Linked DNA regions of Oryzias latipes. The protein of the gene in region 1 interacts with the protein of each later gene in a pairwise test. Links are inferred from orthologs where the notes say so. Each region holds a gene or a part of one and is shown on either strand. Other genes may lie near its edges.

Region 1 (4,632 bases):
CAGTCAGCAGTGGGTTGGAAAAAAGCAGGAAAACGGAGCTTTAATCTGTCTACTGACAGGTTTAGGCCAGCTGATATGTTGCAGCTGATACTGCTGAGAAGTCGAGGAAAGAAACGGTGAAATCTGCTCCCTGAATGTGTGCTCTCAGCAGACCTGAAAAGCCTATTTTTAATAACCTACTTCCACCTGAAGCCCTCTTCTTCTTCTCCTGCAGCATCTTTTCCAGATCCTTAAATTTGGCCACATCGTAGAGTCAGGCCTGTTTCCAGCTATTGTCTTTGCCATGGAAATTCTCTGCCTTTTTTTTAACCTTTTAATGATTTCCGTTCTACATGTATCCTTGGGGGATTCAAGCTGAAAGATTTGATGTAGTCTGTAATGACATCTGGGCCATTTCCACTTTAAATGGTGCATCCTGACATCAGAGTCTGCCTCAATAAAGCTGAGATGCCCCTGTCTGCAGTGCATCATAATGGCTTTTTATTTCAACTGTGTTCCACAACACTTTTCAGCTGAGATCAATCTAAGTTCTCTGGAGGAAAAAAAAAAAGATTTCTTAATGCAAAATGTTTGTGTGTAAAGTTGGAGAAGATCATCGTCAAATGTTGCCTTAAAATTAGACTAATCTGAGAGAAGGCACACGTGAAACCGGCTCCTCGTTGCAGTCATGGTTTCTGCTACAGACTAGAGAACCTGAGAGTCTGGACTATTTTGAGCCTGCGGAGTTGATCAGAGAGGCTGCCAGTCTGCAGGAGTGATGGTGGCACACCTCCCAAACAATGGCAAAGAAATGCAGTTGTATGTGGTGGTGTCTGTGAAGGTTAAGAGGAAGAAGATGAATGTGGTGAGATCCCAGGAGATGGAAGGAGGACAGACAGTATAATTAGCATCAAAAGAGGAAGAGGAGGGAGGGGGAGGGAAACTGCCTGACAGTACAAACGCAGAGGAAGCTTTTGGAGAGGTGCAGCAGTGTCTGGAGTATGTCTACTAATATGAAAAACACTGCTCCAGAATATAATGGGATTATAGTACAAAATAGAATTGCATATGAAGCTTTGCTTCACCATCTGACTGATGGATGCATTTCTAATCAGAAACAGAAGTGTTTGCAGCTTGTTTTTCCAGTTTGAAAATAAAGATCTTTTTTTGACTTTGTTTTGACAGAATGCCGGGTGATGAAAGGACCCAAAACCCCACGTGGTTCAGTGAAGAGTCCGGGTCTCATCAAACGCAGCAAGTCACCCACTGAATCCAGTGAGTCTATTATCTTGAGCACAGTGAATACTGACATTAAGACTGCTTTTTAAAAATAAAAATAAAAGGAAAAAAAATAAAAGGATGCCGATAACAATGGGGCACAATACATAGTGAACAGAACATTAGATATGAAAGTAGAGGGATGGAGCTCACCTTTGACCTTTGTCTAAGGGGGATGGTGAGGATTGGGGGATTATTCCTATTCAATAATGAATGAAAATAGATGACTGACTTGGTTAAAGATCCGCTCCATTGAAAATTCTTAACATGTTTTTGTGGCTTTTTTTTGATGGACATGTATAAAGAAAATAAAGGTCAAATTTGCATATCTGAGTATTTCTTTATTAAATCGTGGTGCATCTCGAGCAGATTAAAAAATGCCGTCTGAAGAAGCGTGTAGTTGTGACAAAGAAATTACAAATGGCAGGCCACAAGCTCCCTGCTCCGCTTTATTGTGATGGATCCACTTGTAGACGTCATGTACCTCCATGTGGCTCCAATATTGCTCGCCATTTTTGTTGCTGTGCCAGTTGTCCACCCACAACTCATAGGTGTTTTTTTTTTTTTTTTAATAAACTACTGCTACTATGCAGAAACTATATCCTAATAAACCACATAGAACACTTGACCTTGGGCTAAAAACACCATAGTCAAATGAACACTTGAAACGATTTTACAAAAGATGATTGGAGTGGTTCTTTAATGTCTAGTAAGGACAAATTTTTTGTGTCAGATGACACAATGTTTTCCTGCAATTTTTTTTGGTTTGAAAACCTTTGATAAAATCTCTCCAAAAAGAAATTTGACTGTCTAAAATTCAACATTTTTTATTCCTAAAACAAATTCTTTTACTAAGAATTAAGTCATTTAAAATTCTGCTTTTTTGTGGTTCTTTAATCTGAGTTGTAACGCAGTATGATGTGCCTTTTTACAAAGCTCTATGAATAAAACATAAGTAAACAAAAGCTCCTCTGAGCCATTTGTCAGAGAGGCAGGGGAGTTGAACATGACAATATCCAGAAGGCAGCAGATCATTGAGATTCTGCTGCTAGCTTTAAAGAGCTTTTGCATCTTTTAACAGATTCTACTCGTATCTGGTGGTAGCTTTGTAATTTGCTTTAAGAACAAATAAGCGTAAAGAAACTAGATGGATGTCTACTTAAGGACTGTGGAATTCTATTATTGGAGGTTTGATGAGGGATGATTGACAGTAAACACAGCTTATGGGCATTCAAGATGTCAGCTTTATCTATGAATCTGGAAGCTGAGGGTTCACAAATCTTGATAATGGGGTCACGGCACAGGAAACGTCTCACTTGCCTGGTAATTTTGACAAGTTTTCAATAATTCAAAAACAATTTCCTGACTGTTTCTGATATTACCACTTATCCAATGTTTTTTTTAATATAATTTCTTGCAAAAAGAAAAATTAAATTCGTTTTTTATTTTTATTTTTTTTACTGATTCTTTTACTGATGCATACAATATTTACAGAATCACAAAATGATCCATTCTACATCTATGTTTCTCTCTGAAGCATAACAGTTGCATGTGTTTTGTTTGCCCATTTTGCTCACATGCAGTAGGGAGAAGAGATGTCAGAAAAGGCTGAAGAGTCAGGAACTTTCATGTGCGATGAGGAAAACCTTTTTTTTTGTCTTTCAAGGCTCAGAATGTGATGACTGATCAAAACTCCTGCATGTTTTGTCTTGAAAGCTGCTTATTTTAAACCAACCTAGTTTCTAAAAATCAAGCAGTTTTAGCATTTTTCCTATCCTTGTGTGACTTTTCAGTGACAGTGAGGCGTTTTCCTCTTGTTGTATTCGGTGCCTTTTGGCATAAACGGAGACTCGCCATCTGGTTGCGAGTCTCCAGGCCTCCTTTCATCTTTCATGAACAAAAAGCCTTTTAAAGTGTTTAACTCACACGGCTAAATCACCTCACACTGCTCCAAAATACAAGCACAATGTCCCACACTGAGAGAATCCTAGCAACGAGACGCAACACTAAGTCTGTGAATACAGTGTGCACTGACAAACAGAACTCATCGGTTCAGTAGAGCTGGAGCTCCAGTCTGGCTTTATTTGTTGCCAAGTGAGGCCACAATAAAGGACCGACTCTTCTAAAGGGTTGAATCATCTTATGCATTGTTTAAGATACAAAGCTGACTTCATCTTTTACTCCTTCATCTGTCCTCTCCTGTATTGTCACTTTCAGCCAATGGGACCGGCTCCAGCAGCCAGATCTCCACCCCAATTTCCAAGAACTCCCCCACATCCACCCCAACTAGTCCAGGTCTGAACAACAAGCAGAAGGTACTGGTCCATTTCTCTGTAAACATGGTTATTTCTTAACACAGTCCTGATGCTCAGATCACGGATACCTCTGCTCTGTTTTCAGGATCTCTACCTGCCCTTATCTCTGGAGGATGATGATTCCCTTGGTGAATCCATGTAGACTCTCATCCTACGTTTGGCCTGAAACACTGAATTTTTTTTTCCCCCCTCTGCTGCTTTCAACCTTCCCTCACAGTGCCACTATTGAGGACAACCAGTTTTTGTTTTTTAAGGCCTTAAACACCATTCACTGCTCTGCAAAAATCTCTTTTGATCACATTAAAATCCTCTTTCGATTTCCAGAAAGGTTTTTTGCAGAATAAACAACTTCTTTCTTACTAATGTCACAGTTTAGTCACAGATTTCACTGTAAGTGCCCTTTTTCTTTAAAAACTTTTTAATCATTAAGCACACCAAATTTAGAATTTCACTCCAAATTTCAGGCAGCAAAGTTTTTTGTACAACATTTTTGTGATCATCCTCATATCCTTGTCGCTCTGCCCTAAGGATGACCTTCCCAAAGGACGTTTTTTTGTTTTTTACCCAAAATCTTTCTTACTTGCTGTAAATACGATGTATAGCCATCATACCATGTTTGCTCCGTGTTCATTGCTGTGCTTCCTTAATGTCAGAACATTTGCTCAACTCATCAGAGGGTTTGATTAAATAGAGGTAAAAGCTAAAGGAAGCTTAATGGTAGGAGTAGAATGCAAAACAGAGCCACACTTTTCAGACCAAAATCAGCAATGCCTGTGAGTCCATGTGGTGTGAAAAATTGCATTCAATCGGAAAGAAATCTTTTCTGGCATTTCCTCTATTTTGACGCTCTATGTAGACCGTAGACTACATGTGCTACCAAACCTTCATTAACTATTGTGCATGGATAGTTGATGAATGAAACTTGTCATGTTAAAAACTGTTTTGAAGGACCTAGAAGTGCGTTAAAAAAAACAACCAAAGGTGAAAAAGTAGGCCCTTTAAAAATACACCTTTTATTACAGTTTTTATACTAAATAAATCCCATTCTGTCTTTTTATCC
Region 2 (5,228 bases), on another chromosome or scaffold:
GATCTTGCAGGCGTACTTTCGAGCCCCTTCCACGACCAAGACGTTGTGCTCCGAAAGGGCCTTCTTGCACTTTGACAGGACATCTGCTGAAGCCCGGGTCAGCTGAGGCGGGAGGGAGGTGGGCCGGCCGCCGTTCATCTCATAACCCCCACTCTCGTTCAGAAGCAGAGGACTTGTTAGGTTGGAGGAAGGTGACGCCGGGTCTTGGACTCTTCCTTCACCTCCTATGCCAGAGTTCATTTTAGGAGCAATACGTCTGTAGCTTGGATAACTCAGGGTGGAAGCGGAAGCACTTCCCATCCCTCTTGAGGGTCGCCCCAGGGAGTGAAGTCCTAAACTGGAGCGCTGGAAGTCCAGAGCAAAAGGATCCACTCCTCCACGTCCAGCACTCCCACTGCTCCCTCTGAGGCCTCCTAAGTTCTCATAAGGAGGCTGCAGGAATAGAGAATCTGGCTGCAGGTTGTCTCCAAAGCCGTTTCTGCTCTCGCCACTTAGCGTGCCCGACTGAATAAGAGAGGACGACGCGGAGGAAGACGGCCCAGCAGCGTCGTGTCTCATCAGGAAGCGATGAGCAACTGCCTCCCCGGTGGTTGTGTTAGGAAGGTCATCCTCTCCAGAAACCAACCCTGACCCACCTCTCCCGAAGTCTTTAGAGCTGAGAAAGTTCGAGATATTAAAATTAGAACTGCTACTCAGCCCATTGTTACTGCCAAACCCCCCCGTGACACCCATTCCTCCTCCCATGCTGCCCTTGAGGAGGAGCTGGGAACTGGAATGGAGCAGAGACTCGGAGCTGGGCTGGGGGTCGGAGGTGAAGCTGCGGTCGCTGCCCTCTGGGCTCAGCTCCACCTTCTCCTCTTCCTCCTGGCAGCCGGGCTCTGCCGGGTCGCTGCCTTCAGCCTGGGACGTCACATCGCTGTTTTCGTCTACAGGCTCAGGTGAGCTGAGAACCTCTCGCTTGACCACCACCTGACAAAAAAAATTAAAAAATGTTTCCACTGTGATGAAAGTTGAGCTGTTTACCGAAGGAAAAAAACGAATATTATGTAGAAACATTAAAATCCCCCCCAAAAAGGAAAAACTGGAAACTAATAAGAAAAAAACTTTATGTGCATCCTTTTTACCTTCCGCTCTTCATCTTCCCCCTGCTCTTCCTCGTTCCCTGACTTTATTTTTACAGTGGCTCTGCTGGCCTGCTGATCCTGGTCACCCATGTCCTCTTCCTTGTTTACTCCTCCTGGAATCCTCACCGAGTTCTCCCCTTCAGAGCGTCCACTGTCTGACTGACTCGGCATCTGAGGGTCATCTTGAGCCACAGCTACAAACCCTGTGATGCCGGCGCCTAGCTTAGAATCATCCCCCGGTTTGTGGGAGTCCGGCGAATGAAGCGCTGCTTCATCCTGATCTGCATTTTCGCCGTCTTCCTCCAACAAACCTAGGTTGGCGCCCCCTGAGGTCCGCTGCCTTTGTCTGGGTCTCTCCTCTGAAATTGTCAGCGCTAGAGACGGCTTTCGTTTGTGGAATCGACGGACTGGGAATGAGGCCCGCTGGTCGACCGCTCTGTTGCTCACGCCGCCTTCCTCCATTCCTCCTAAAGCGGAGCTCACCAAGCTGAGCCCCAGCTGCTGCAGCAAGAAGGAGCGCTGCACCTTCGACGTGGCAGCGTTTCCTGTGAGGCTTGTGTTACCCGCTGAAGCTGGGTTCCCTCCCAAGTCCGCCTGCTGCTGCCTGTGCCTTTGCTGCTCCTGTTGAGAGTGGTGATGGGCCGGCCTCTCAGAGGAGGGCGACACAGGCAGTGTGCGTGTGGTTAGGTAGTGCTTGCAGGCTTTTACGACATTGTTGAGGTGCAAATGTGAGGCGGCGAGGAGGATATCCATGACGTTACTCTCCCCCAGCATCAGCGTCGACGTGTACATCATGTCCACCAGGGCAGCAAATGCCTCAGCCGTGACCACCTGCAAACAGGCAGTTTGTTATCATGATATTAACTCACAGCAGAGCCAGTGCTCGCTTCAGGTCCAAACCTCGCTGTCCAGCTGGATCATATTCATGCTAGCATCTCCCTCGGCGACGGTGAAGAGCGCTCTGAAGTGGGTGCTGCAGGCTGCAAGAACAGAGCGGTGGGCTTTGAAGTGTCGGCTGCCCACCACTATGATGCAGTCGCACAGCTGACCGTGCAGCCGCTGATAGTTCAGCTGCTGGAATATCTGCTCAAAGTGTCCCGGGAAGTCCATGGCTCTGCTGACAAATCAGTCCAAAGGAGGAGGAGAAGGAGACAAAAGTGAGAAGGACGTGGACATCAATGATTTCACAGGGGGCTGCCCAACAGATCTACCACCTTGACTGTTTCCCAGCTCTCCCTGCTCCCTGGATCATCAGGTGTGTTTAGCCACTCAGAATGTGAAGTTACTCAGAATGTGAAGTTAAGTTAATCAACAAGACAACAAGTCTTAGAAACATTCTGGCTTTTTGGGCTGACTTCAATATGTCATTATCAGTGCAAAACACACACATTTGACTTCCTTTTGACTATTTAACATAGACATAACTAAGGAAAGAATTTGAAGGTCAGTAGATTGGGGGTTTAAATCCAAGACTACACAGTCAAAAGTGTCCTTGGGCGAAACACTTAACCTCACGTTGCCTTGGATTGTAATAAACTAGTGAGTCACTTTGGTTAAAAGCGTTTCCAAAGACTCAACATATAACACACACAAAAGAAGGAAATTTAAGTAAGCTAGCTAATTTTTTTTTCAGAATAATTGATTTAATTTTATAGAATTCTGTGGCCTAAAATAGAATTCAATATCTTACTATGCGATAACCGTGTTGTAACATTTATTACATTCAAAAACTTTGGGTAATTAGTCGTTTTAAATTCCCCAAACTTTATATTTTTTTATCGCAACTTGATGATAGAGAATTCGGTTACTGCAAAACAGACCTTAAAGAATAGCTTGCAAGTTTAAACTGGACAATCATGTGGGTTATAAACAATAAATAACATATACTAGATTTTAAAAATGTCAAATAGCACAAATTACCTTTAAGTCTTCCAAAAAGTGTGTCCCCGAAGGAAAAAAATTGAGAAAATATTCAGGGAAAAAAAGTGAAGAGGCTAGTAGTGAGTCTCGTTAGCAGCCGCGCGGCTAGCCAACTCCTTCTAGCTATATAGCAGCACCAGCGGGTGCATTAGGTCTCCCCAAAAGATCGTCTCCGCCGACACCCTTTCCCCCACAAAATGTCCCCTCAAGTGCAGCTACCTATGGCTAACCCTTCCATTGCGGTGTTCATAACATCTCCTCTAAGCCACTTCCTCGTAGTTCTCCAATACAGTCTGAACGGCGTAGTAGTTCAACTGTCGAGAAGAAGGGAGTTGCGATGGTCGTTAGCTTTAGGATGACCGATGAGCAGGATACAACTTCAGAACAATATCATAATACCGATGATCTGGTGTGTTTCCGGCGCTTACCAAGCAGCACGTTTTGCTTAATCTATACGAACATTTATTCAGACGGCTTTTTTTCCCCATCCAGACTCACAGGGTGGCGCTGCTGCACCTTGATTGAAATGACCTCGTTGAGGTAAAGCGCAGCAGTTTGAATGATTCACCACAGGGTGTCGCTGTCGTTCGTAAGTGTCTAGGATGAAAACTATTGAGCGAAATGGTTTTAAATATCTACTTTATTAAGACAGGTGTTGTGAATAATATTTACGTGTATTTAGAAAAAAAATGTTTTTAGACAGCTTTAAGAAAAGACAAAAATTCGTCATTGACCAAATTCACTGAGCGTTACGTTTTACGTAAATACAGATGAGTGAGTCCTCTCGCTCCTTTCACAGATCACAACAACAATCATGGCCGCCTCGTGCAGGATGGTGTGCTGCGAGGAGGAAAGGGAGTCTGACAAAGCGATCATAGGTAATTATTCTCATCTCAGCCTTTTTGAAACAATAATCTCTAAAGCAGGCGAGCATACAGTCAGTATTTGAGTTATCTGTGTTGCATTCAAGTGTATAAAACTATTCCATTTTTCAGGAGTAATCAGAACACGTGAAAGTTACAAGGCAATATTCTCACACATAATCAACATTAACACGCCATTCTCTGTATTTTTTGCAGTCCGATTTTCGAATGGTTTCACCAGCAATGCAGAGGAACTGGATTTTGCCACATTCAAGAACATAGAAGAAAATAATCCGAGGAAAAAGATAAGGCGGATCGTGGTGAGAAATTGCGCATGCGTGCTCGCACACACCATAGTTTGCATGGAATTGATATATTTCAAGCAATCAATATAACATCACACTGAAGAAGAAATACAAATCCACTCATATGTTTATCAAACTTAAGATGGTTTGTCATTTTTTGATTGTAAAATAAAAAATGTTATAAGAGATGCATATCCATATATTTACAACCACACACACGTACATTATACCATAATAATTAAACAAAAATGACAGATTCGCATTCATTAAATATGTAACAGTTGTCTGTTCCATTTAGGTTGCTGAATCAGACAGGTTGTCTTATGTCGGGCAGAATTTTGGAGAAGATTTAATGAAATGCAATAATCTTTGCAGGTTTGTTATCATTACATTTTATATACATTAACATTTGATATAGACCTTTCGTATCCTTATCGAATGAGTTTTGTGATGCAATTATTTTCAGATATTATGTTGGAGTTTTGAATAAAGAAACCATGCAGATGGAGATACACAGCGCTCAGCTATTCAACATGCAACCTGTCATACCAGGTAAAAGAAATGCAATCCCCAAAACAATAACAAGCGATTTTTAAAGGAGGGCAATTTAGTAATGCCAGTTAATTTCCACCAGGAGAGGCAACACATGATGCAAAGCCTCAGGACACCACTCTGTCCTACAGGGAAAAGGTATGAGAAAAACAAGCTTTCTTTTGAAACAAACAAGCACACAGTGAAGTCATGTTTTTTTTTTCTTTCTCAAGGTTGACTCCTTGATTGAGGCCTTTGGCACGAATAAACAGAAACGAGCTCTGAGCTCTCGCAGGCTCAACCAGGTGGGCAGTGATGCTCTGCATCATGCAGTGGCTGAAGCTGCCAGCACTGTGATTGATAACAAGGGTCTGGAAGGTAAGCGTGAAGCTTTCAGCCTTTTGGAGTAATCTAGACAAGAAAATATAACTCAAATTCATACTGGACTTGCCATCATTTTTTTTTTACTACATGTTTTTTTCCCC

The links. The genes of interacting proteins can lie anywhere in the genome.
Region 2: the proteins of dcx (region 1) and zinc finger and BTB domain-containing protein 5-like interact in binary tests that used the Homo sapiens proteins (3 or more experiments, as listed by UniProt). The two-hybrid records come from large-scale screens. The link is inferred for Oryzias latipes from reciprocal best matches to the Homo sapiens genes DCX and ZBTB5.

The regions. Positions count from the first base shown.
Region 1 is NC_019872.2:14,739,363-14,743,994, reverse strand, and holds part of dcx (neuronal migration protein doublecortin), read left to right. Parts: intron 1-1,164; coding exon 1,165-1,254; intron 1,255-3,474; coding exon 3,475-3,572; intron 3,573-3,657; coding exon 3,658-3,714; 3' UTR 3,715-4,632. UniProt on the Homo sapiens protein: Microtubule-associated protein required for initial steps of neuronal dispersion and cortex lamination during cerebral cortex development. May act by competing with the putative neuronal protein kinase DCLK1 in binding to a target protein.
Region 2 is NC_019859.2:12,632,345-12,637,572, reverse strand, and holds the start of zinc finger and BTB domain-containing protein 5-like, read right to left. Parts: upstream 3,585-5,228; 5' UTR 3,045-3,584; intron 2,242-3,044; exon of another isoform or gene 2,239-2,241; 5' UTR 2,235-2,238; coding exon 2,025-2,234; intron 1,956-2,024; coding exon 1,125-1,955; intron 970-1,124; coding exon 1-969. Other genes in the region: polr1e (DNA-directed RNA polymerase I subunit RPA49), read left to right, coding at 3,604-3,633, 3,844-3,922, 4,124-4,227, 4,511-4,587, 4,679-4,764, 4,847-4,902, 4,977-5,121. UniProt on the Homo sapiens protein: May be involved in transcriptional regulation.